7 linked regions of the Oryctolagus cuniculus genome follow. The protein of the gene in region 1 purifies or fractionates together with the protein of each later gene. This does not show direct contact. Links are inferred from orthologs where the notes say so. Each region holds a gene or a part of one and is shown in the gene's direction. Other genes may lie near its edges.

Region 1 (3,500 bases):
TGTGTGACAACTGTACATATTAAGGAACTTAATAATGGGTATTTCATTTACCACTTAGTAAAACAATAAACTAATAAAATTGGTTTCATATTATCTAATTATGCTGTTCATCTCCTAACCAAATAGAAATCCTTGAATATTTAACTGATAATCTGTAGACTATAAAATGTATTCATTGTTAATGAAACTATCATAAAATCATTTAAATTTAAGTATATGACTATCCTTTTAAAGTATAAACAGGAATGTTCTATTTTAAAGTATAAACCTATTTTTTTGTCAGATAAATGGAATCTTGAGAAATTTCCAAAGGCCCTTATGTTCTTTAATCTAAAAAATTAAAAATTTGAAGACTTAGGGTGAAGAATACTGTGACAGAAAATGTATGAAATAAGATTCTGTGGCTTGCTGGTCTCATCTGGTAGCAGCTGTGACAGAAGCAAGTGTTTTCTAAAGCACATGAGATTTTTACCATTCACCAGAGCTGGTTTATTAATTAGCAAAGTTAACCATTTCTTGAGTAGCTATAAACTATCTGTTTTCATTAGGTAGAATGAATTCTTCATTTAAGTGCTGATCCTTGCCTTCCATAGAATGACTATTCAGTTTCTTGTTATTAATTCTAACTAATACATATTAATGTTTGTGATTTTGATTTTTCCCAAAAAGGAGACACTTGTGGCTCAATTAAAAAAAGTATTAACACTTGCATTGGGTTAATTATTATAGGTAACAATAAGATGAGTGAATGATGAAGTTACATTACCATGTGAGCTTGCAGTGCAGTAGGAGGTACAGACACAGTCATAGCCAGTACAGGGGAGGGTCTGGTGAACCCTAAATTAGAGATAGGGATTGTTAGTGCTGGAGAGAGAAGGAGTAGTTCCCACAAGGAGACTCTGGAAAGGTGTCCAATGAAAGAAAAAAAAAATCCATCTGAATCCAACCCTGAGTTAACAGAGTAGTCAACAGGCAGAAGTGGGTGAGCAGAGAAACTTGTATGATAAGCTGCAAAAGAATGGAATTCTAGTGTGTTTAGGCACTAATGCTCTGATATGCCTAAATAAAAAAAGATTTTATAGCACATTCAGGGGTAAAGACCCTTTTGAGACTGTTGTTATATAGATTTTATGACACCAGGTGTCTTTGAGCACACATTTAAAACCCAGTAGAAAGTTTGAAAACTGATTTACATCCAGATACTCATTTTTTTACATTATTTTTGAACAGAAGCCTTTTTGGAAATCTTAAAAAAACAAACATTTCAAACAGTTGGCTAACACGCATGAACTAACACTCATTCAGTTTTTAAATTACGGATAATGTCCGTATTAACATTATAATGACTCTGTACTACAGATTGACATGGTACATCGTAACAGCTCCGAAGGATTCTTCCTTGATGCATCTCGACACATCCTTGAAGCACCTCAACATGGACTGGAGAGGAGGCGCTGGGAAGCAAATCAGAATGTACACTAAATAAAACAGTCAACTTTGGGTGTGGATGGAAGGGGGGGTTCATGTAAAAGTTCTTTTACATGGAGTTTTCCTCCTGGATTAGATCAGGGAAGAAATGAACTCTACTACAGAAAGCTGTGTTTTTGATAGCTGTACTATTCATGTAGAAACTTTAAGTCCATTCTCAAACAGAGAATTATTTAAGTGCAGCTTTTAAAGACCGCTTAGCCCAGTTCATTGATTTGCTCTTTATAGCTCTTGTAACTTTTGTTGCCACAAACCTGTCGTTCTCTTTCTGGACCTTGAAGACATTTTCTTGGCATTGACTTTGACTTGATTTTATAAAAATTTTGGTCAAGCTATTGAGTTGAAATGTTTTAATTCAGATTTTTGATAGATGTAGTCCTTTGAGTTCACAAATAAACATGCCTTTGTTTAGATGTTCTGAGTAAATATAGTAGTGCTCTTTCCATTGTTCCTCTATTCTGCTTTTCTTTTTTAAAACTCCCTTGTGGCAGGTCTTTATTCAGTACAGCAGAAATGAATCTGGACAAAAGTTAGAGGTGAAATGTTTTCAAATAGTTCAAGGATCTCATTGCTGACACTTCTTGCCTTGAACAGTTTTCAGAGCACAGGCCTTTGCTCTTTTGCCCATTTAAAGGTCTGTGATACTTCCATTAACATTTTATAATTTATAAGCGAACCATTAACTGGGCTTGTGAAAATACCATTCTGTTTTAAATACTGGGTTTTTCCTTGGGGTGATCTTGTTAGCAGAGCCTCTGTCCTGAAAACATTATCTTGTTTTATTCCATCTTAAAGGCAAAGACTTGCTTCCTAGTATTTGAAAGGCAGAGTTACAGAGAGCAGAGGCAGAGAAAGAGAGATCTTCCGTCTGCCAGTTCACTGATCAGATGGCTTCAACAGCCAGAGCTAAGCCCATCTAAAGCCAGGAGCCAGGAGCTTCTTCCAGGTCTCCCTCATGGGTGCAGGGGCCCAAGGACTTGGGCTGTCTTCTACTGCTTTCCCAGGCCATAGTAGAGAGTTGGATCAGAAGTGTAGCAGCTAGTACTAGAACCAGCACCCATCTGGGATGCTGGCACTGCAGGCATTGGTGGTTTATCCTGCTACACCACAGCACTGGTCCCCTTATATAGTTGTTTTTGTTTGTTTGTTTGTTTGTTTGTTTTGTTTTGTTTTTCTTTGCTTTTGACAGGCAGTTAGTGAGAGAGAGAGAGAGAAAGGTCTTTTCCGTTGGTTCATCCCCCAGTGGCCGCTGTGGCCGGCGCGCTGCGACTGGCGCACCATGCTGATCCGAAACCAGGAGCCAGGTGTTTCTCCTGGTCTCCCATGTGGGTGCAGGGCCCAAGGACATGGGCCATCCTCTGCACTCCCGGGCCACAGCAGAGAGCTGGACTGGAAGAGGAGCAACTGGGACAGAATCCGATGCCCCGACCGGGACTAGAACCCGAGTGCCGGTGCTGCAGGCGGAGGATTAGCTATTGAGCCGCGGCGCTGGCCCCTTTATATAGTTTTTTAATTTATGACAGTGCTGTAGGACTGACCAAATCATAAAGTGAGAACACTATGGGAATTCAAAATTTGTACTCCTTACCCTTATTCAGTTTGCTGCTGCACTGGTCTGTACTTACTTGCTTTTAAGCAGAGTGCTCCCCTTACAGTGGGAGGATTAAATCCTTTTAACTGTTGGCGAATATGGTAACTACTTGTGTCGCTACCATCATTGAATCCAGGGCTGCCCAATACAACTTTCTGAAATGATGGGAATCATTTTCTGTATCTGTGCTTGCCGACATGGAAGCCATAGCCTCATATGGTACCTGAGCACTTGCACTGTCACTGAGGCAACCAAGGGACAAAATTGTGACTTTTTAAAAGTTATCTGATTTTAATTAAATGGCATGTATTGGATAGCATAAATTAGCATTTTATTGTGGCTTCTGAGTACTAACATTGTATAGATTTCTCCATTAAAATAAAAACCTGCATTTTTTTTTTTTTTTGGTTAATTAAGAAGA
Region 2 (3,500 bases), on another chromosome or scaffold:
CCCTGTCACGGTAAACGCTGTCCTTGCTCTCCCCGGGACTGTCCTGTGTTGACCCTCAGAGCTCACTCCCGTTTCTGGGTTTGTTTTCTCTTGCCGGGAAGCCTGTGGCAGTCAGTGCTTTTGGCCATTCTTGTTCAAAGTCACTCGTTGAGCAGCCTTTGAATAGGCACCTGCTTTGAGTGAGCACATTGTTAGGCGCTGGAGAGAGAAAACAGAGTAAGCTCTGGTCCCCCAGCCAGCACAGCGGGAAACGGTGACGGAAACACCGGGAGGGGAGAGTGAAGCCTGCCTTTGCTCCGGGGGCCTCTCAGCTCTCCCCTTTCTGTTCTCGGTGTTCCCTGTATTATCCCACGTGAGCTGGGATGAAGGAAGCCAGGGCTGCTCCCTAGATTCCCCAGCCTACTCCTTTATGAACTGGCTCTCGTCCCCAGGGTCCTGCTCAACATCATGTACCTGATCGTGGAGACCGTGCACCAGGAGTGCGAGGGCGACAAGGCTGAGTGGAGGGCCGTGCGACAGACCTTCAGAGCCGAGCTGGGTAGGACCCTCGGGGTCTCCTTCGGGCCCGGTCTGGAGCTGAGTCTGGGAAGCTTTGGGAAGGTTTGGAGCTGCTGCGGTCGTCCTGATCCCTTTTTGTCACCCCTAGGCTCCCCACTGTACAACAATGAGCCATTTGCCATCATGCTGTTTGGGATGGTGACCAAATTTTGCAGTGGCCACGCCCCTCATTTCCCGATGAAGAAAGTTCTTTTGCTGCTCTGGAAGACCGTATTGGTGAGCACCTGGTTGCAAGGAACTCAGGCAGTAAGGGGTTGGACGGGGGTGGGGGACTGCCCCTGTGTAGCCTTTTGAAGCTTGAATGTGAATGTATAATCTCTATAGTTAAAAAGTATTGCGCAAGCGCCTGAAAGGAGACGTCAGAGCAGTCGCTGCATTGGGCCCCTGCAGCCCAGGAGGACTTGGTCTTTGTGTCAGGTTAGATTATTGCTCCCAACCCCCGGAGAAGCTGTTGTCTCAGTCGTAGTGCAGCCTCCGTGGGGGACAACCTGGGGAAAAAGGGGAGCTGGAGTTGGGGCTGCGGCTGTCACTGCGGCTCCCCTGCCCTCTGAGCAGGCCGACTGGGGCCAGGGCTCAGTAAGATGGGGTCCTCCTCAGTCATCTCATGTTTCTCTTGGCCACGTGTCCTGTGGGTTCCCCTCGAGGCCTTACTAAAGGCAGAGCGGAACCGAATGGCTCAGATGGTGGAACTCAGCAGCCATATGTGCCATGCGAGGCGTCTCCTCATCGGGAGGTGTTTTGATGTGAAGCTTTCTTTTATTATTATTTAAAGGTTTATTTACTTGAAACACAGAGTTACAAAGAGAGAGGGAGAGACAGAGAGAGAGAGATCTTCCTGTTGCTACTCCACTCCCCAGATAACCGCAATAGCTGAGGCTGGGCCAGGCCAAAGTGAGAAACTCCATCCAGGTCTCCTGCATGGGTGCAGGGGCCCAAGCACGTGGGCCGTCCTCCTCTGCTTTCCCAGGTGCAGAAGTGGAGCGCCCAGGACCTGAACTGGTGCCTGTGTGGGCTGCTGGCATTACAGGCAGTGGCGTAACCCACTGTGCCACAACACTGGCCCGTAGTTGAGTCTTAATTTGAGTAACCAACACCGTGTTTCCAGTTGACTGACACACTGGCGTATACAAGTATCGAGAGGAGTGAGCCTCGCAGCCTGCCCTTTGTTTTTGGAGGGGGTATCGCGAGCCTGCATTTTACTCTCCTCTCTCTCCCCTCTTGCTGACTAGGGACACTGAATCCCCTCGGGGCTGGCAGTGGTTCCGTGTGTAGAGGTTGTGTGGGTTGTAGTGCTGTTGCGGTGGCTTATTTACCAGAGAGGCAGACAGAGAGCGCCCGTCTGGTAGTTCACTCCCCACAGGGCTGGGCCTGGCAGAAACTGGGAGCCAGGAACTCAGTCTGAGTCTCCCACATAGGTGGCAAGGACCCAAGTACTTAATTCAGTTACTGCTGCCTCCCAGGGTGTGCAGTAGCAGGGAGCTGGGATTAGGAGCAGAGCTAGGACTCAAAGCAGGCACTGCAGTGAGGCAGGGATGTGTCCCAAGCGGCGTCCCCACCACTAGGCCGAGTGCCTTCCACTGGGTGCCTTTGAGCCTGGCGCAGTGCCCAGGGCAGCGGTGGTTCTGCTGACGCCAGCTGCACGCCCCTGTCTGGTGCAGTGCACACTGGGCGGCTTTGAGGAGCTGCAGAGCATGAAGGCTGAGAAGCGCGCCCTCCTGGGCCTCCCCCCGCTGCCCGAGGACAGCATCAAGGTGATCCGCAACATGAGGGCCGCCTCGCCGCCAGCGTCTGCCTCCGACCTCATCGAGCAGCAGCAGAAAAGGGGCCGCCGGGAGCACAAGGTGAGGGCGGCAGAGGGCTGTGCAGGTGCACACAGAGGCAGGGCTGCCGGCGTCCTCAATGGGCAGGTGGAGGATGCCAGTTCAGCAGGGGCACTCTGACCGTGGCCCCTGGCCCTGCACAGGGTGCGCTCGGCTGCAGCACTGTTGAGGCGTTAGACGAGAAATCGCCATTTGGTCCCAGCCTTTCCACCGCTCTTGCTCTCTCCCCAACGCCTTCCAGTCTCCTGCCCTCTCAGCCACACCTGCCAACGCTGGCTCAGTGGGCAGCCCCTGTCAGGTCTGCCTCTGTTCGTAGGCTCTGATAAAGCAGGACAACCTGGATGCCTTCAACGAGCGGGACCCCTACAAGGCCGACGACTCCCGGGAAGACGAGGAGGAAAATGACGACGACAACAGTCTGGAAGGGGAGACCTTTCCCCTGGAGCGGGATGAGGTGATGCCTCCCCCACTGCAGCACCCCCAGACCGACAGGCTTACCTGCCCAAAGGGGCTCCCGTGGGCCCCCAAGGTCAGGTGAGTGTCAGAGCTCCACAGTGCTCCTGGTCCTAAAGCCAGAGCCCGTACACCCTCACACCTGGCCCCTGTGCGCAACCCCAAGCTGTGCTGGCCTTGCTGGCCCTTGTGCGGCCCCGAGTCAGTAGTTTGAGTCAGCTCTTGGTTCGACACACTAGTGAAGGGGGTTAGGAAACGCAAAGCAGGGTGTTACCGTGAACCCGTCCCCACCCAGCCCTCTTAATGGAAAAGTGGAAGGATAAGGAAGACTTTCCTAGGGATCATAGCTAAGGTAGGTAGGGTAGCTGTGGGAAAATGGATGGCTAGGAAGGACCTAGAGATAGAAAACTGGAATCTGGGTGGTGGGCAGTAGCTTGAGAAGTAGGTGAACACGCGAGGGGAGGGAGGTGAGCCCCTGTCCTGGCCCAGGCAGAGCCTCTGCTCTGAGTACCTGTGAAGGGAGTGCAAAAGAGGCCATCCAGAAGCTTCTGCCAGGTGTGCCGATGGCTTAAAACCGGAAAACGTGACACCTGTGCAAGATCAGGAGCGTGTAGCACTGATTATCGAAAAATGTTAAATACTCAGGGTTGGCACTGTGGTACAGTGGGT
Region 3 (3,500 bases), on another chromosome or scaffold:
CAGCCTTAGAAGTCTCTCCCACAGAAATACCTGCCTATGTCTCCAAATATTTACAAGGGTATTGGCCATAATTATAAAGGGTTAAAATGTTTATGATCTACTTGTTCTTTTAGCTTAACATACACTTGCTGCATTTTGTCAGGCATAGTGGGAAGCACTGTATCAGGTATAAGATTTAGTTTAATGAGAAAGGTAACAGGTTAAACAAATAAGGGGGATAGAAGTCTGTGGTTACAAATTGTTACAAATGATACATAGAATATTGTGAGAGTAACAGATGGAACCTTCTTTAGATGAATAGTCAGAAGATGTTTACCTGAATACTAACAGCTGGGGCAGGCATTTGGCCTAGTGATGAAGACACCTGTGACTCCTGTTGGTGTGTGACCCCTATTTGGTAACTAGCTTCTGCTCCTGACTGCAGATTCCTGCTAAACATACCCTAGGAGGCAACAGTGATAGCTCCAGTAGTTGGATACCTGCCACTGATGTGAGATACCTGGATTGAGTTCCTAGCTCCTGATTTTGGCCTAGGCCCAGCCCTGGTCATCATGTGCATTTGCAGAGTAAACCAGTGATGAGAGCTTTTGCTTGATGTCTCTGCTTCTCAAATGAATATGTAAATAATCTTAAAAATAAATAAAATAGTAACAAGCAGAATCTAATAGATAAAAGAGAACTTTCAGTCAAGGATTTAAATCAGGAAGTGACCTGAAAAAAAGGTAGAGTTAAAAGGATGACTGTGACTCTCTTTGTTTGGTTTTTAAAGATTTATTTGAACGGCAGAGTTACAGGGAGAGAAGGGGAAAGACAGAGATCTTTCATTCGCTGGTTCACTCCCCAAATGGCTGCAATGGCCGGAGCTGGGCCAGGCCAAGCCTGGATCCAAAAGCTTCTTTTGCGTCTCTCACGTGGGTGCAGGGGCCCATGCACCTGGGCCATCCTTTGCTGCCTTCCCAGATATATTAACAGAACTGGATTGGAAGTGGAACCAGCTAGGACTTGAACCAGCAACCAGGATGCTGGTATTGCAGGTAGTGGCTTTACCTACTATGCCCCATTTTCAACCCCAACTTTGACTTTTGTGAGAAGAAAATAATGGAATGAGAGGAGTGGAAACAACCAATTCGGAGGTTGCTTATAATACAGTCCAGTCAACTAGTGATGTTGCCAAGACGACAGTGGTGGTGCTAGAACAGTTAGAAGTAGATTTAAGGTTCAGTGGGCAAATAATGTAGAATTGTCAGGATTTGTTGATAAATTGTATTGTGCAGGTAAAGTGATCAGTGAGCGACTCTTGCTTAGTTGTGTTATTTTAATAGCTTTTATCTTAAATCACACCATAAAAATCACTTGAAAAAGTGCATAATTCAGTAGTTCTTACTATGTTCACAGGGCTGTGCAGCCATGACCACTATCTAATTTCAGAACATTTTCATCACCAGTGCTGGGTTTTTGACATGAGCAACTGAGTATGTGATGGTAGCATTTATGGAAATGGAGAGAGAATAAGTGTGATGAGATGTAAGTCATTGAGTTCATATTTTAGGCATATTAAGCAATGGCAGTATTAAAGAGATAATGTGCAGATGTGAGCTCAAAGAGAAATGGGTTGGAGGTAAAAATATGATGTCGTCTCTGTACAGATGATACTTAGAGCTGTGCGAATGAATGATGCAGTGAGAGTGTGCTGTGTAGGGTAGGAAGAGAAGACACCTGGGACTGAAGTCCTTGGTAACTGACATTGGTAGGATAGCTAGAGCTAGAGAGCCAACAAGGGAAACGGTGTGACTTTAACAAGTAGGGGGAGGTAATGGAGAGTGTGAGGTCATGAAGCATATGCAAAGAACATACTGTTTTGGGAAGCAGGAAGCAATGTGCATTTTCAGATATTGCTGAGGTCCAGTAATATGAAGATTAAAAGGTTCCTTCTTACAAAAGACAAACAGGTCTTCTGATTTTAGCTGGAGAATACTGAGGTAGACCAGAAGGACCTGTTTATATCTTTCAGATCAGATAATATGAGTGAAAAGCAGTATGTTGGGAACAACAACAAATGTTTGGTATCATCAAAGAAAAAAGTTAATTAAATTTCATAGATGGCATTACTGGTGATTTTAGCAAGGGTTATTTTGGTGCAGTCATATCAGAAACTATAAATTATAATTATTTGAAGAGTAAATGGGAGGTGAAATGAATTTATTTGATGTGTTTTTCTGCCATTCAGCAGAAAATGTTAATGAAGATTTCTAGTTTGAGCTGAATGATTCTCAAACTGTGCCCCGCCACCCCTCCCCACCACCACCATGGTGGTGATTCCTGTACCCATGATAGTGATTCCAGGGAGGAAAATTTGTGTAATAGATAGTAAACATTGAAAGCAAGTTGGTGAGTTCAGTGTACCTGGTAGAATTAGCCTTTGTTAGGAAGAACAATTCCTTGCTTATATGTGAAAGAAAGCAGAGTAGATTACAGATAAAGTGGCAAGAAATGAGGAAATTAAGTTGGGAACTGAGGATTGTGGAGATAAATATTCCTGGAAAGTAGGAGTTCACTAGAAAAGCAGAATTGTCTCAATTGTCATATGTCTCAATTGATGGATAGATAAATAAATTTGGTAATATCTGTACAATGAAATATTATTTGATGATAAAAAGAATTTGAGTACCGCATATGCTAAAACATGGATGAACGTGGAAAATGTTATGCTGAGTGGAAGAAGCCAATCACAAAAGACCCTACACATACTGTGTGATTGTGTTTATATAAAATGACCAGAATAGGCCTATCTATAGAAAGAGAATAGATTAGTGGTTGCTTAGTGCTGCAGAATGGTGGGGAAGAGGACTAGGCTAATCAATGATGAAAGTGTCTTAAAATTGATTGTTGTGGTGGTTGCACAGATCTGTGACCACACTAAAAAAATTGAATCATACCCTTTAAATGAGTGAGTGGGATGGTATGTAAGTTATATTACAGAAGTTTTTTTAAGTATTTGTTCCTTATAGAAAATTGTGAAAATACAGAAAAGTATTGGTGAGGGGAAGAGATAAAAAAATAACTTATAACTCCACTGCCTAGAAGTAGCCCCTATGTTTATTTTGTTTTATCTTCTTATGTATTTAATTATATGGTGAGTTATCTTTATAAACAAAAACATTATTTTTCACTTATTGTAACTAATATTTTATTTGTTTGTTTCTTCCCAGAGCCAAATGTCCTAGCTGGCACTTTAGTTGCTCATTCAGATGCAGTCTGGGGTCTTGCTTATAGTGGCATAAAAAATCAGTTACTATCTTGTTCAGCAGATGGCACTGTTAGGTTATGGAATCCACAAGAAAAATTGCCATGTATTTGCACTTACAATGGAGACAAGGGTGAGTAAAATTTACATGTATGAGAAAAACTTATGGAGGATAAAAAGGAAAAACAATTGATTTTATTTCTTTGCTATTCCTAGTCATTTATTGTATGACATCATAAATACACCATAGTGCTTT
Region 4 (4,060 bases), on another chromosome or scaffold:
GCATTACAACCACCTTGGATAACAGGTCCGCAGCGGACAATCTCAGCATCCAACGTACCCGCAGACGCTGAAGAAGAACGCAAAGTTATTTTCTAGGGATACAGTTCGGAAGTAATTCTGTATCAACGACGAGACGTTTGCTTTTCATCAGCTACGTACCGATCCAGAATACCGTCCACCCGGTCCTCAATCAGTAGGGGTTCCCTCAATCTTGAGACCTCCCACAACAGTTTGAATCGTGCAACTCAAACCAAAAACACCAACCACACCCTTTATACCCAGGGTCAAGCGACCTTTCTTTCTTTTTTTTTTTTTTTTCCTCCTCAAAGTCCAAAAATGTGCATCTTTCACCCGAAAGGGTTTGCCCCGGTTTTTCCAGCCGAAGGCAGACGGTCTGAGCTGTGCCCTGCTGCAACTGCTGTGCAAAGACGCTTCCTCCCGGGCAGTGTGCGGACGCCCCGGAAAACGCGCCCACGCTTACCTCCCGCACACCTGCCACCCTCGGCGGACGGCTGGAGCTGAGGCTCGAAGGGACTGCACTCCGCTCAGCTCCCGCTCCTGCTCGGGTCTCTCCCGGGAAACTACGGTCCAGGCTGCGCCTTCGGCTTCCACCGGGACCCAAGCTCCGCCTCTCCCTCCTCCAGTTGGCGAACTGGGCAGCTGTTGCTCCTCCCCCTGCTGTTCCTGCTGCTGCCGCCCGGGTCCCTGCCCGCTCCCTGCACTTTGGAAGCTGCTCCAGCCGCTTCCCTCGTACCGGGGGTCCCCCTTTCCTCCCACCCTCTCCCCGCTCTCACACCTGGACTTGTTCCCTTGCCGCGCCCTGGCGCCTCCGCAGGTAGCCCAGGCTCAGCCCATCGCTCCCCAACCTGCGGGTCTGGGGCTTGGCGGAGCTGCTTATCCCGGCCGCGGAGCGTCCCCGCACTCCCTGCACTCCAGGCTCCCTCTCTGCCCGCGCTGCAGACCCATTCCACCGGCCCCACGTTCCCTACCTCGGGCCCCCCCACCCGCTTCCGTCTTCTCCTCCGGCAGCCCGCCCCCTCCTTGGGTGAGGCGCCTACGGGGCCGACCCTGCACCCTGATTGGCGCAGGTGAGAGCCGGCCCCGCCCTTCCTCCCCTAGCCTTGCACCCTCTCTCTCCCTCTCACCTCCTCCCGCAAAGGCCGGGAACTCTCCTACTATTGGCTACGAGTGTCCCCACCCATCGCCTTAGGCTCTGCCGTATGGCCTGCCGGGAAGTGTAGTCCTAGGAGCGCAGGAATTGCAGACGACGCCGGCGAGCGAGACTACGAGTCCCCATAGGCCACTGCGCCTCTCCGGCTGGGCAGGATTCCGGACAACGCCTGGTTCCTCTCGGGTCCTTCCGGCGTCGCCGGAGTGAATTGATCCGGGAGTTGAAGAGGGCTCCAAAGGTGGGAAGTGAAGTCAGTGCCTCAGTTGCCGGTAAGGTGCGGGTGTTCTGCCCCTATCCCCGTGTCTCCGCGCGCGGTGGAAGAGGTCTGGGGTCACACAGGGGCCGGGGCTGAGGCACTCGGGCTTGGTACTGGCTGGCGGAGCGGACGGGGCTGGGAGCGGGGCCCTATGGGCGTAAGCGAGGTTACCCTACGCGAGTGGCGTAAAGCGGGTTTGTAAATGCCGCCTGCCCGCCCCGCTCGGGCCTGGACGCCTCCAGGAAGTGTGCTCTAGGTGGGGGCGGAGGGGAAGGGCGAGGTTGGCCTCTGGTTCCCCCCGAGAGGAGAGAGGGCGGATGTGCCTGGGGTGGGGTCCTCCGAAGGTGTGGCTTGGGGCGGGAGAGGTAAGGCTGCTGTTTCCCCCTTGCTTCGTAAGTGTGGCTGGGGAAGGAGGGGTTGCTTGGAAGTCTTCGCTCCGGGGTGACTGGGGTTATGCCCTTTGAAGGAAAAGGAGAACGGAGTAGGAAGAGTCAGATGTTGACAGATCGGCGGATTCTGAGTGTTTTGAGATGGGGTCCCTGAGCAGAACCGCTCGACCCTGTTGAGGGTGTGATACCCAAGATAGGTTTGTTTACGGCTGGAACTGCTTTCGAAGAGCTTTCCCGTCAGGATGCTGTTGAAGAAATTGAGGGAGTAAATGACGTGCCCAAGGTCACACAGGCAGGGACTTGGTCCTGAACAGGACAGAGATGCCGGCGGAGTCACAAAGTGCGGAGACGGGCCGTGTTTCTTGAGGAAGGTGGAGGAAGTGACACAGTAATGGTATTTTATGGATTTCTAAGAAGCTATGAGTGATTGAAGGGTGACTTTTTTTTCCCTCTCTCTCTCTCTCTCTTTTTTTTTTTTCTAAACTGGGGTGAAATTCCTCACTGAAGCACTTTCTCTGACCTTTTTGAAAAATAAAAAGGATCAGTATCAGTTACGTATTTTGTCCTTTATTGGGGCTATATTAACGATCGACTTCTCCCACAGTCCATTTTTAAAAGTAGATAGTGAAATAGGAGAAAGTCATTTAAACAGTGTATTCCATCCTTACTGTGAAAAGGATATATTCCTTTCCCTTCCTGCCTTAGGTGGTTTTTCCACTCTCATGTTGTAAAACTGAGAACAGTGGGGATGGAATTCTTTAACAAAACTTACTGTGCACTTTTTTTTTGTTTCAAATAATGCAACATTAAGGAGAGTTTAGTGTGCTCATTACTAGAAAAGAAGATAACATTGCATTTCTTGGAGGTAACATATTTTTGTGATTCATTTGCTTCTCCCCTCTTTGATTCTGTGTGTGTGTGTAAATAAAAGAATGAGGCTCTTACATATTTTAATTTTCTCAGCATCATCTGTGACTTTTTAAATTTTTTTAAAGATTTATTTTTATTTATTTGAAAGAATTACACAGAGAGGTAGAGACAGAGAGAGAGGTCTTCCATCCAACAGTTCACTCCCCAGATGGCCACAACCGCTGGAGCTGTGCTGATCTGAAGCCAGGAGCTTCCTTCAGGTCTCCCACGTGGGTGTAGGGGCCCAAGGACTTGGGCCATCTTCTACTGCTATCCCAGGCCATAGCAGAGAGCTGGATTAGAAGTGGAGCAGCTGGAACCAGAACTGGCACCCGTATGGGCTGCTGGCGCTTCAGGCCAGGGCTTTAATCTGCAGCGCTACAGTGCCAGCCCCTATCTGTGACTTTTAATTCATTCTTAGTTTGTATTAAAGAATGGAAAAGCAGGACACATTTCATATGGAGTAGAAACTAATGCACCTCTCCCAGTCTTATCTCCTGTAATTGTTACGACCCAGGACAGCTCCTCAGTATTAATACTGAATAGTTTTTTTTTTTTAATAGAAATGTGGGAATATGTTCATTGATGTCAGGATTTTTTCACATTAAGTTTATATTCATAAATAATCTATTTGCAGTTGGCAATCATCTGTCATGGTTTATTGTTATCTAAGTTGACCATTGAAATACATTGTATTTTGAACACACTATAAATATTAATATTAAATGTGTGTAATTTTTAAATGCAGCAGTATTTTCTAGGATCAAATGTATCATATTCCCATATTATGGAAGTTAAGATGGTCTGGAAATTGATACAACTTTAAAATGGAAGGAGAGGTATGATAGTATAGAATCAAGTGAAATCGAGAATAATAAGCACCATAAGCAAAATAGTGCACCTGTAAGGAAGAGTCAACCAAACAGGTGGAAAATTGTGTGGAGTTAACTGGCTTTGTGTCAAATTAGAAAGGTGAAGTAGTTTAAGTAGACCATAGATGCATTAGTAAGTGGTGGTAAGCAAGAATGTTAATACATTTTCTAGATGGCAGTGTAAATATTTGCTTTTGTTGGGCACGGTGTGAAATGAGTTCTGACTTTTGGCATGCAGCTGTGTGGTTATGAAAAGAGTTTTTGAACTAGAGAAATTTTGGAAATAAGTGAAGTTAATATAATCTACTTGTTCAGCATATATCAGTTTTTGTTCTTGGTTCAGTTTACCATGAATTTTTCTTTATCTCTGAGATTCATTTCAGTTTTGATATTTCACCTCTGCTGGAATGTCATTGGAATGTTTCTCTTACATTTATCATCTTCCGGCCACATGCTTGAGTAC
Region 5 (3,500 bases), on another chromosome or scaffold:
ACTTAAAACTTTATTCAGTGCTTTAATGCTTTTTACATGTTCAAAATATCTCATTCTTTCTTCTACTTTTCTTTCATTCACTGGAATCCATTCTGTCCTCCTAGTAAGATGTGTAAGGAATTGGACTTCCTTCTGTGTCCAGTTTCTATCTGTGATTAATTATCTTGATATTTTTGTTGCAGTTCTCAGAAGCAGAGTTTAGAGCTTACCAGTGATCTCAGCATCCTTCAGATGACTAGGAAAGAGCTTGAGAACCAAATGGGATCCTTGAAAGAACAGCATCTTCGTGATTCAGCTGATTTAAAAATTCTTCTCAGTAAGGCTGAAAACCAAGCAAAGGATGTACAAAAAGAGGTAAAGCGAAAAGACATTGTGAGTCCAATTATGGTTGGACCTAAAGCCAAAAGCAAATCAGATATCCATGCTAGTTAGAAATATAGGGAAGCAGAAGTCACATTACCTGTCATAAAGTTGATATTTGGAGCATTCTGTCTGGTGATTTCTAACTGTGTAACATGGTCCATATTATGCAGTATTCATCAGTGGTGTTTGGTTTCAAAAATACAAATATGCAAAATTATACTTTTTCTCCAGCAGTTAGTTGACCTATATGAGAAGTCCTTTGTACCAGATCTTGATCTATTATCTTTGAAAGAGAATGTGTTATTTAACTTAGAATACTTTTGGGAAGCAAAATAGAGCCATGCTGTAAGGCTGTATGAACCCTTCAGGTGAAAATGACCTGAAAAGTTACTTAAAATTTACTTCACAGCCAGCCAGCCAAACACATGTTCTGTAGCCTTTTACTTTTCTTCCCCCATACCCTTTCTCCTTCACAAATATGCATGTTCACTTTCATGTCATTTTGCTTAAAACCTGGAGGTGGCAGCTATTTAAATAATGATGTTAAAAATGGTAAGAGTCGACTTTAAAGCAGAGACCCTCCCGACTTCTCCTAACCAAGACAGGTACCATTTACTTCCCTAAGCTTTGGAATTGACTGCAAGGCAGTAAGAGCTGTGTTCAGTAAATGCTGGCCTCATACCACTCTCCGCATCTACATCTGACTGGCATGGGGATGGAAGAGGCTGCTAAAGCTTGATCTACAGATCAAGGGCCACTCTAGTAGCTGACTCTCTTAAATAAAGGGCTCTTTATCAGTTGGAAAGGATCTGAAGACAACACTTTTTTTTAAAAAATGAATTTTCCCAAAATTATTTCTAGAAGATTTGTTTTATCAATGCAGTTTTTCTTTGCCCTCTCCTTTCCTTGTAGTATCCTGAACTTGGAAATGATTGTTGTTCTTCTGTCATCATGTTTGTTCCTAAAGAAAAAAACTGTAACATTTTTTATTTTCATCTGGACATATTGGTTTTGTAATATGTTCATTTTTGCCTTGCTAAGGATATGTGTTTTAGGAGAAATCTCATTTTATTTGGTTGGAACACAAATTGTGTGCCAAAGTAAATATTCTGGTATTTAATACTGTAAGCACTTTGTGTCCTTCCAGTCCATAAGCCATAATTCTTTCAAAATCTGGGAAGACTGATATGGTTGGAAGGAGAATCTGTTGTATGTTACTGTGAATGCATTAGCCATTTTGTTGCATTATTTGTTTGCCTGCTTTTAGTCACTGAGCAATCAGTGCAAAATGCTTTAACTGTTTCCACAAATGGCAGTGGCATGTTGTCACAGCATCTAAATTGTTGATAGTATTTCGATTGCATTAAATGCAGCACATTTAAAAATATGTCTGATTTTGTCAATATGTTTCTTTTCAATGTTCTTGTTCACTGTTTTCCATTGTAAAATGATGTATAGTTAGTCATGCTTTTGTAAAGATGTGAAATTGCTCTTTCCGTTTGTCCTGTTGTCAACATATTTGATACTAGTCTGTAACTAAAATATCTTTTAATGAGGTTCTTATCACTGTATAATCTGCTGCAAATGAGTGATTACCTTTCATTAACACACACTTATTCTTTTCAACGTTTCCCCTTTTACTCCCTTCTCTCATAGAATCATATTTAATATGCAGTGTCATGATTGTGTATCTTCTGCACTTTAACAGGCTAACCTATCACAAGATAAGCAAGCTCAAATATGGTTATTTTTATAAAAATGAACCAAAGATTTTGATCATATTGTGTGATAGTTCCTTCTTAATCAGGGCTGAGCTTGTTTTTCACCTCAGGAAGCAAAATGGAACGAAAATGACATCCAAGCAAGATGTGAAATTAAAGCTGCATAATTAAATAATTAAATTTTATATATGTGTTGCAGCTTTCAGATAAGCTCTTAAAGAAAAAGTACATGAGAAAAGTAAATTTTAATTTTCAATATTAAGAGAAAATAATGATGTATCACCTTTATATTTGACTTTAGAAAGCATCTATAGGTTTTTTTTTTTTTTTTTTAATTTATTTATTTCAGATGTAGAGTTACAGACAGAGAGAGAAAGATCTTCCATCCACTGGTTCACTCCCTAAATGGCCACGACAGCTGGAGCTGAGCCGATCTGAAGCCAGGAGCCAGGAGCTTTCTCTGGGTCTCCCACATGAGTGCAGGGGCCCAAGCAATTGGGCCATCTTCCGCTGCTTTCCCAGGCCATCAGAGGGGAGCTGAATCAGAAGAGAAGCAGCTGGGACACAAACCAGCACCCACATGGGATGCTGGCGCTGTGGGTGGAGACTTAGCTTACCATGTCACAGTGCTAGCCCCCTATATATTTTAATTTAGTAGGAATACCCAAAATTTAAGAATTCATAAAATGTTGAGCACATAAGCTCACCCTGCAAAAACTGATTGAAAAAAGTTGTTTGGCTTCACCATCTTCCTGTGGGGCCAGAGTCTTTTCCATCCACCCACTTGCTGGAAGTAAGCAGCAGGATCTTCCTGTCTGAGCTGTCTTCCTCTGGTTCAGCTTCAGAAGTCCTGGAATGGAGAAATGATTAAATGCTTTAATGTAAAGGGCAGGCTGGATGTAAGAATGGTGGAAAAGGAAAGCAAGGGAAAATTTTGATGAACAAAGAACTTTTTACATCTTCTTTTTAGTTATTGTTAAGAGTCAAATTATATCATGGATCGTTGAGAATTGATTATAGTTTAAGGTGTAGAAACTAGGCTAAGTACAGTGACTTTGCCATGGCAGCTGGCTAGTAACCTTCTGCTTCCTGGAAGGAAATCCACAGACCTTCAAATCAACTGGAAAAAAACTGTCATAAAGCCCATGAGTCTTATTCTTTAGTTCATTCTTCAGTATTCTACCTAGGTTTGTTTTGGAAACATTGTTAGGTAGCAGTTTCTGTCATTTTTTATCTCTTCTCTACTCATACATTTCTTCTCCCCTTATAGTAACCTATGTGTTAACCCTAACCACCTCCTCTTGCCTCCTTCTTTCCTGTCTAATGTTTTTATACATTTTCATCCTTCTCAATATTAATCTTATTTTCATAAAGATTTATTTTATTTATTTGAAAGACAAAGTTAAAGAGCGAGGT
Region 6 (3,500 bases), on another chromosome or scaffold:
TTTCTGATCCAGCTCCCTGTTGGTGCGCCTGGGAAAGCAGTGGCAGATGACCCAAGAACTTGAGCCCCTGCCACCTAGTGGGAGATCTGGATGGAGTTCCTGGGTCCTGGCTTTGGCCTGGCCCAGCTTCAGCTGTTGAGGCTATTTAATGAGAGAACCAGCGGATGGAAGGTCTCCTCTGGCTCTCCCTTTCCTCTTTCAAATAAGTAAATAAATATTAGAAGAATTTTAAATTGAAGTTCAAACCAAACATGCTTCAAGGTGAAAGTGAATTTCATATAGAATTGGAAATAATGAAAGATGTTTGTTGTTAGAATAAATTGTTTCTTCTTTTTGATATCAATAGTTATTTTACTTTGATAAGTCAATGGTAGTTGAAGTAGATTTTGAATACCTGTGAACCCAGTGTAAAGATTAACATTTCTAAGTCACAGGCTAACTGTGGTATTTAGAGGATTGTTTCAGATTGTTACAATAGCTGTTATGGCTTCAACTCATTTTAGTATTCTTTGCATTTTGCCAACTTTATCTGATTTACCGTCAAATGGAAAAACTTCCTTAAAAGTATTGGAGTGGATTTTGGCACAGCAATTACTGCTTGGTACACCCACATCTCATGTGGGAGTCCTGGTTCCATTTCTGATTCCAGCATCCTGCTAATATGTAGCTTGTTGACTCCTAGTTGGCTTCCTGCCTCCGGTTTTGGACACCCAGATTGAGTTCATGGCTCCTGGCCTCATCTTGGCCCAGCCCTAGTTGTTGCCAGCATTTGGAGAGTGAGCTAACACATTGAGATGCCTCTGTGACACACTCTCTCTATCTATAGATCTATCTATCTATCTATATGTATATATCTATCTATCTATAGATAGATCTATCTGTATGTATATATCTATGTATATAGATAGATAGATACATATAGATAGATAGATATAAATAGATGTCTCTCTCTCTCTCTCTCTCTCTCTCTCTCTCTCTGCCTTTCAGGTTATCAGCCAGTGATGGCTGTTGTTATGAAGAGGATTAAGAACCTCTCCTTGTTATGTTAATTTAAAGATGATAACACTGTAGTAAAGAACTTTCTAGGTAAAAAGAGTTGAACTTTAAATTTGAAGATTATCTACATGTAAGTGATAGTGAAACTTAACAAAAAAATACAGAATATTGTAAAATGATAAATATCAGGGACTCTGCTAAACCTTAGGTGGCAGCCATAGATAGTAGTCATAGATAGTAAATGGTAGAAAAAGAAATTCTGATTCTTCACTACCTCCAAATTTATCAATGTAGTGTACTTCAAGCAATTCTCATTTCCTGAAATTGAAATTGTGGAAACAGTTGCAGAATAAATGAACTAAAGACAAATTAAAATCATCTCACTTACTTTTTTAGTCCCTTAGATGAATTTCAGTTTTCCTTTATGTGAAAAAAAAATAGCCATAACTAATTTGTGTTGCTCTTTTTCTTCTTAGCAATCAACTCTTCCTGCCAAATAAATAGAGTCATCAGTCATCCCACTCTGCCAATCAGCATCACTGCTCATGAAGATAGGCACATCAAATTCTATGATAACAATACAGGTACGAATTTATTTATTAAGTAGTGGTTTTTGTTCAAGCAAAAGAAGAAAGAAACCCTACAAAAAAGTTGAGTACTTTTGGTGTCTGTTTTAGTGGCATGATAATCAAAGAATAGATACCAGACACAGGCAGTTCCTTGTCTCAGTTTCTCATCATGCCACCCAAATCTGCTAAGGCTAGTTTTCATTCTAAACGATATTTGGATCCTTTTTGTTTAATAGTGAGTAGATGCTATATTTAGGTCCTGGAGCCAATGTTATCACTAGGAGCACAATGAAAAATTCATTCAAATGCAGATTAAAGTGATCTGTTGCTATGATTTATTGCAATATGTTGGGGGAAAATAGAAACATTGGAAGTAAAGGGTATGATCATTATACATGGTAATAAATTATTGTATAGTATTATTCAGTATTGAGTTATTCAGTTAAAAACTAGCCATATTCTGTGTTGCAGATGGAAAACTTACAGGTCATTTGGTTTTCTTTTCCATGGACTAATCTTCTCTGTGTTATAATACTGACTGTTTGGTCCTGATTGATTTGAATTGGAGCATGAGGGGCTTTCACAATTTTTGTTGGGTTACATTTCACCAGTCTAAAAGGAATTCATGAAGAGCTGTGCAGAGGAAAGCATCTTTGTGTTTGCAGCCATATTTATCTGAGTTACCTGTTATTGTCTTTGTTAATATGTTAACTTGTGCTGGCTTTGCTTAACTGCTATGGATAAGTAATTTCATGTTTTACATCCTTTTTGTATGTTGTGTACATTATAATTGTGGCCATGTTTCCTTTCTGTTGCTTTGTCTCATTCTTTTTTCTCTGTGAATTTAAGCTCTCTATTCCTACCACCCATATAATTTGCCTGTAGCTAAAGGTTGCAAAGTAGGTGATTAATAGTTTCTAAATCCTCATTAGTGGGAATGACTTAAGAGGATGTTTGTGTAGAAATTAGTAACTTCCATAAGCTGCTTTTGTTCTTCATTATGGTGACTGAAGGTAGGAGACAGGCACATGTTTTAGTTGATGGAAAAAACTGTTGATACAGTAAGTAAACAGGGTAGCTAATGTATATTCAAATGAGGAAAATCATCAATAAATAGGAACAATCTTCTTTTTCCAAAGGTAAACTGATTCACTCGATGGTAGCACACCTAGAAGCTGTTACAAGTTTAGCAGTTGATCCTAATGGCCTGTACTTGATGTCTGGCAGTAAGTACATCAACTATGGATTGTTTCTTTGTTCTTATCATCTTTATATAAGTGTAATTTTCCTTTTCAATTTCTTTTCATTTGGTATAGGTCATGACTGTTCAATACGTTTATGGAATCTAGAAAGTAAGACGTGTATTCAAGAGTTCACAGCTCATCGGAAAAAATTTGAAGAATCGATTCATGATGTAGCTTTCCATCCATCCAAATGCTATATAGCCAGTGCTGGAGCTGATGCGCTGGCTAAAGTCTTTGTATGACACAAAGCATCGTTTTCATCATCTAGTTCTTTATAAATAATCAACTGCACAAAAGAGATACAGAAGACCAGGGCAAGAATCAACTCGTCCTGCCCTTTTGTTCTGCTGAAGGAGCACAGAGAACATTTGTTAAAGTATAGTTTTGCAATTCGTATACAGTTTTCTAAAACTAAAGTTTGTTCAGGTTGCTGCAAGCTCAGCTGAATCTGTGAACCTGAAAACTGTTTCAAATTGTCCCCTAAATAGACCCTTTTAATTCTGAGGTGGTTCTAATTCGCTAGGTAGGTCCTTAGCGTACACAGGTTTAGCTTGTCCCTATTGATACAGCGTGCTGTAATGGATAATTAAAAAGCTTGATGGCTGGGAATGAGTAGAGAAAGAGCAGAAACTTAGACCTAGTTCTCCTCTGACAACTCTTATTAAACATGTTAGGTAGTCAAAACAGTAAT
Region 7 (3,939 bases), about 54 Mb from region 1:
TTGCAAAAAGCCAGCCAACTTCTCAGGGAAGCAGTAAATGGCTTTTCTCTTTGCAGCCAACATGCAAATTTTGAAGCTCACTGAAAGGGTAGTCTCAGGCTTCACACAAGAGAAAATACAGGAAGACCGAGTCCTGCCAATGTAATTACCAGAGAGAAAGAGCTGACATGCCAGTACTAACAGCCATGGCCAAGGACACTGGTAAGAATTGCCATCATGGGGCTGGCGTTGTGGCATAGCAGGTTAAGCCACCACGTGCAATGCCGGCATCCCATTATGGCACTGATTGGAGTCCTGGCTTCTCCACTTCTGACCCAGATCCCTGCTAGTGTGCCTGGGAAAGCAGTGGAGAATGGCCCAAGTGCTTGAGTCCCTGCACTCATGAGGGAGACCGAGTTCCTGGCTCTTGACTTCAGCCTGGCCCAGCACCAGCCTTGCACCCATCTGGGGAGTGAACTAGTAGATGGGAGATCTCTTTCTCTCCCATCTCTCCCTCTCTCTCTTTCTGCAACTCTACTTTTCAAGGAAATAAAATAAACTGCATCATGAAGACAGGGAACATCAGAACTAATGGTCAAAGGCTAGTGTTCTTTAGGATTTCTTGGGATATTTCAGAGATTTTGGAGCAAGAGAGAGAGGGAAAGGGAGGGAAGGAGGAAGGCAATATCACTATGTTCATAGAATTGTATCTACATGTTACATTGACTGCTTATAACTAATTGAAAATCAAAATTAAAAAATAAAATTTTTAAAAACACATTTACTGTTCTCACTTTTATATATATAATACACACACACACACACACACATATATATATAATTTTCATTTGTTTCTCACTCGGCAACCATTCCTCCTGGTGGCTCTACCTTAGCAAGAATATCCAGATTCTTTTTTGTCTTCCTCTCTCCCTCCCCTCCTGCATCCCTCCCTCACTTCCTCTGTGTGTATCCAGATTCTAATGGTATGACTACAGCATTCCTGTGGCAGCCAAGCACCATCATATCTCCTACCAGGTTGCTCTGCACCCATGCGTGCCTCCCTGGGGTCAGTTCTCAACATAAGTCCAGAGTGATGCATGGTCACAGGAGTTCAAAAACTCACAGATGAATAGAAATTTTCTTAAAAGGCAGGGTGGAGATTCTGGCACTATGGTCATGGCGGAGGGGACGGCAGTGTTGAGGCGGAACAGGCCGGGCACCAAGGCGCAGGATTTCTATAATTGGCCTGATGAATCCTTTGATGAAATGGACAGTACACTTGCTGTTCAGCAGTATATTCAGCAGAACATAAGAGCAGATTGCTCCAATATTGATAAAATTCTTGAACCACCTGAAGGCCAAGATGAAGGTGTATGGAAGTATGAACATTTAAGGCAATTCTGTCTTGAGCTAAATGGACTTGCTGTCAAACTTCAGAGTGAATGCCATCCAGATACTTGTACTCAAATGACAGCAACTGAACAGTGGATTTTTCTGTGTGCAGCTCATAAAACTCCAAAAGAGTGTCCTGCTATAGACTATACTAGACACACGCTTGATGGTGCTGCATGTCTTCTGAATAGCAATAAATATTTTCCTAGCAGGGTTAGCATAAAGGAATCATCTGTAGCAAAACTAGGATCAGTATGCCGTAGGATTTATAGAATATTTTCGCATGCTTATTTTCATCACCGGCAGATATTTGATGAATATGAAAATGAAACCTTTTTGTGTCATCGGTTTACTAAATTTGTGATGAAATACAATTTGATGTCCAAGGATAACCTGATTGTACCAATTTTAGAAGAGGAAGTTCAGAATTCAGTTTCTGGAGAAAGTGAAGCATGAAGGGAATCGTACAGAAAAATGTACTGATCACATAATTAACGTTCATTATGTACTGTATATATCATTTTAGACACATCAATCATGTATTCATATTATAGCTTCTTTGTTTAGATTAGGTTTTTGTATGCTGTGTGTTGCCTTTTAAAAGGGGAAATACTTTTTAAGTTATTCATAAGCTGTATATTCACCGGTGTGGCACTCATGGTTTTTTAAATAAGATTAGTATTATCTGTTTATAATGCCTGTTAATAAAAGAATTTACAGTTTGGTAAAATTGCTGCTAAACAATCATTGGATTACAATCCTCATCAAATAAACCCATATATAAAAAGATGAGTAAGCTTGAGGTCTTGCACAAACCATTTACTAAAGAGATAGTAATGTTTTCCTTTCATTTTGTCCCTGAATTTAGATATTATAGAAAATTCTATAGAACATAAACTGTAAACTTTTCCAAAATGAGATAAAAGTACTTTAAAATTCTGTTTATAGTTTTTGATATGCATTTATGATTATGTGTATATCCAAATATAAATGCAAATGAAGCATTAGTAATTCTTATATAATCTTACTATGCTATATAAAGTATATTCTAGGCCAGCATACTTGGAAAGGATATACCTTTTTACAGCAGTGGACTGTTACATATAAGTTGATGCTAATGATAAGGCACATAAAAGGTATTCCCACTGGAAAACTGTTCACCCCCTTCTCACTTCCCATAATCCTGTCCCCAGATACTTTAGCTGAGAAGTCTTTCACCAGACTGTGACTTAGTGGTGACTTATACCTGTTTATACTCATGTTTGTATTAATTGCTTACAGATTTACCTCATATTAGCAATTATATTACACTACAAGAAAGATGTGTTGGCATAGGCTCTTTGTTTTGTGAAAATTTTCTAACTACTTGGAAGACAGACCTTAAAGCCATTTGATTCTTCCTCTCAGTAATATTAATCTTTTCATCTTACTCTAGGCAGCATTAGAGTTAAAGAAATATTGTAGTATTTATTTTGTACCCTTTCTCCACAAAATTTGAATTAAATACATATGTGAGGTTATTTGCAATAATTGATGCAAGGGTGTTGATGAATGGCCATACATTTTTTAGACTTTGTTGTAGCATATAAGAATTTGGGTGCAGATGTAACGATCTTATAATCTATTGAATGCAGTTTTTCATGGAGTACTAGAGAGGTCTTATTGCCAAATTGATTGTAATGAGGCACTAAGATAGGGTAGAAAAATTATACATGTAGTGAAGAAAATACTTAAACTCATCTCTAAGACATATTTAACAAATGTGAGAAAATTTTTCATTTAAAATAGTTATTTTGAAATGAAGATGAAAATGTATTCATCTTGATTGTCTTCAAAGAAATTATTTATACCATATTATGAGACAAGTATGCAAAGAAAAAAATATGAGAAATAGTAGCATACTGAGAGTGTGTGTATATAGTTTATGCCTTTCCAAGGCTGCCAATCGTTTTGGCTTTGAACAGTACTGTCCCAGCAGCCACAGTCCTTATTGTACCCCAACTCACAGCTATCTTTTAGAAGTTTTATGTTCACGGTGAAAGGAATGTTGAGTTTGAAATTATACGTTTTTTTTTTTTAATGTCACTATAAACTAATGGAATAGTAATTTTTAAGCAAACTTGCTGAATATTGAGAGAATAACCTACTAAGTTAAATTATAGATAGCAATGTAGCTCTTCTCTCTTGATGGTTTCTCATAATGGCTTTCTGTTACTTGACTATTTTCTTGGTGAACATTAGAACTAAAATAGTGACTGGAATTGGTTATCTGGCTAAGGATTTTGAAACACATTTTGAATAATATGACTTAGTGTTTAATGGGGAAATAAAATGATATTTTTTCGTATTCATTCCATCTTCCCTGTACTGTGTTTGGAATTGATCATAAAAGAAAAAAAAAAACTCCAAAAGAAAAAAAAAAAAAAAAAAAGGCAGGGTGGAGGGGGCAAGTGTTTAGTGCTGCAGTTATGTTGCCATTTGGGATGCCAGCATCCAGTACTGGAGTGCTTGCTTTGAATCCTAGTTACTCTGCTTCTGATCTGGCTTCCTGCTAATCTGCACCATGGG

The links.
Region 2: the proteins of FGFR1OP2 (region 1) and STRIP1 purify together in Homo sapiens (affinity purification with mass spectrometry; 3 studies listed by BioGRID and IntAct, with this or other methods). This does not show direct contact. The link is inferred for Oryctolagus cuniculus from reciprocal best matches to the Homo sapiens genes FGFR1OP2 and STRIP1.
Region 3: the proteins of FGFR1OP2 (region 1) and STRN3 purify together in Homo sapiens (affinity purification with mass spectrometry; 5 studies listed by BioGRID and IntAct, with this or other methods). This does not show direct contact. The link is inferred for Oryctolagus cuniculus from reciprocal best matches to the Homo sapiens genes FGFR1OP2 and STRN3.
Region 4: the proteins of FGFR1OP2 (region 1) and PDCD10 purify together in Homo sapiens (affinity purification with mass spectrometry; 3 studies listed by BioGRID and IntAct, counting the BioPlex papers as one, with this or other methods). This does not show direct contact. The link is inferred for Oryctolagus cuniculus from reciprocal best matches to the Homo sapiens genes FGFR1OP2 and PDCD10.
Region 5: the proteins of FGFR1OP2 (region 1) and SLMAP purify together in Homo sapiens (affinity purification with mass spectrometry; 3 studies listed by BioGRID and IntAct, with this or other methods). This does not show direct contact. The link is inferred for Oryctolagus cuniculus from reciprocal best matches to the Homo sapiens genes FGFR1OP2 and SLMAP.
Region 6: the proteins of FGFR1OP2 (region 1) and STRN purify together in Homo sapiens (affinity purification with mass spectrometry; 4 studies listed by BioGRID and IntAct, with this or other methods). This does not show direct contact. The link is inferred for Oryctolagus cuniculus from reciprocal best matches to the Homo sapiens genes FGFR1OP2 and STRN.
Region 7: the proteins of FGFR1OP2 (region 1) and MOB-like protein phocein purify together in Homo sapiens (affinity purification with mass spectrometry; 3 studies listed by BioGRID and IntAct, with this or other methods). This does not show direct contact. The link is inferred for Oryctolagus cuniculus from reciprocal best matches to the Homo sapiens genes FGFR1OP2 and MOB4.

What each region holds. Positions count from the first base shown.
Region 1 is NC_091440.1:124,188,674-124,192,173, forward strand, and holds part of FGFR1OP2 (FGFR1 oncogene partner 2), read left to right. Parts: intron 1-1,359; coding exon 1,360-1,473; intron 1,474-3,500. UniProt on the Homo sapiens protein: May be involved in wound healing pathway.
Region 2 is NC_091438.1:60,282,506-60,286,005, reverse strand, and holds part of STRIP1 (striatin-interacting protein 1), read left to right. Parts: intron 1-431; coding exon 432-538; intron 539-646; coding exon 647-774; intron 775-2,216; coding exon 2,217-2,399; intron 2,400-2,694; coding exon 2,695-2,912; intron 2,913-3,500. UniProt on the Homo sapiens protein: Plays a role in the regulation of cell morphology and cytoskeletal organization. Required in the cortical actin filament dynamics and cell shape. Part of the striatin-interacting phosphatase and kinase (STRIPAK) complexes.
Region 3 is NC_091443.1:44,426,408-44,429,907, forward strand, and holds part of STRN3 (striatin-3), read left to right. Parts: intron 1-3,209; coding exon 3,210-3,377; intron 3,378-3,500. UniProt on the Homo sapiens protein: Calmodulin-binding scaffolding protein which is the center of the striatin-interacting phosphatase and kinase (STRIPAK) complexes.
Region 4 is NC_091435.1:112,788,378-112,792,437, forward strand, and holds the start of PDCD10 (programmed cell death protein 10), read left to right. Parts: upstream 1-1,260; 5' UTR 1,261-1,440; intron 1,441-1,651; exon of another isoform or gene 1,652-2,210; intron 2,211-4,060. UniProt on the Homo sapiens protein: Promotes cell proliferation. Modulates apoptotic pathways. Increases mitogen-activated protein kinase activity and STK26 activity. Important for cell migration, and for normal structure and assembly of the Golgi complex.
Region 5 is NC_091441.1:92,027,418-92,030,917, reverse strand, and holds part of SLMAP (sarcolemmal membrane-associated protein), read left to right. Parts: intron 1-182; coding exon 183-354; intron 355-3,500. UniProt on the Homo sapiens protein: Associates with the striatin-interacting phosphatase and kinase (STRIPAK) core complex, forming the extended (SIKE1:SLMAP)STRIPAK complex.
Region 6 is NC_091433.1:165,985,547-165,989,046, forward strand, and holds part of STRN (striatin), read left to right. Parts: intron 1-1,472; coding exon 1,473-1,580; intron 1,581-2,704; coding exon 2,705-2,791; intron 2,792-2,881; coding exon 2,882-3,051; 3' UTR 3,052-3,500. UniProt on the Homo sapiens protein: Calmodulin-binding scaffolding protein which is the center of the striatin-interacting phosphatase and kinase (STRIPAK) complexes.
Region 7 is NC_091440.1:69,971,548-69,975,486, reverse strand, and holds MOB-like protein phocein, read left to right. Parts: upstream 1-1,139; 5' UTR 1,140-1,149; coding exon 1,150-1,827; 3' UTR 1,828-3,722; downstream 3,723-3,939.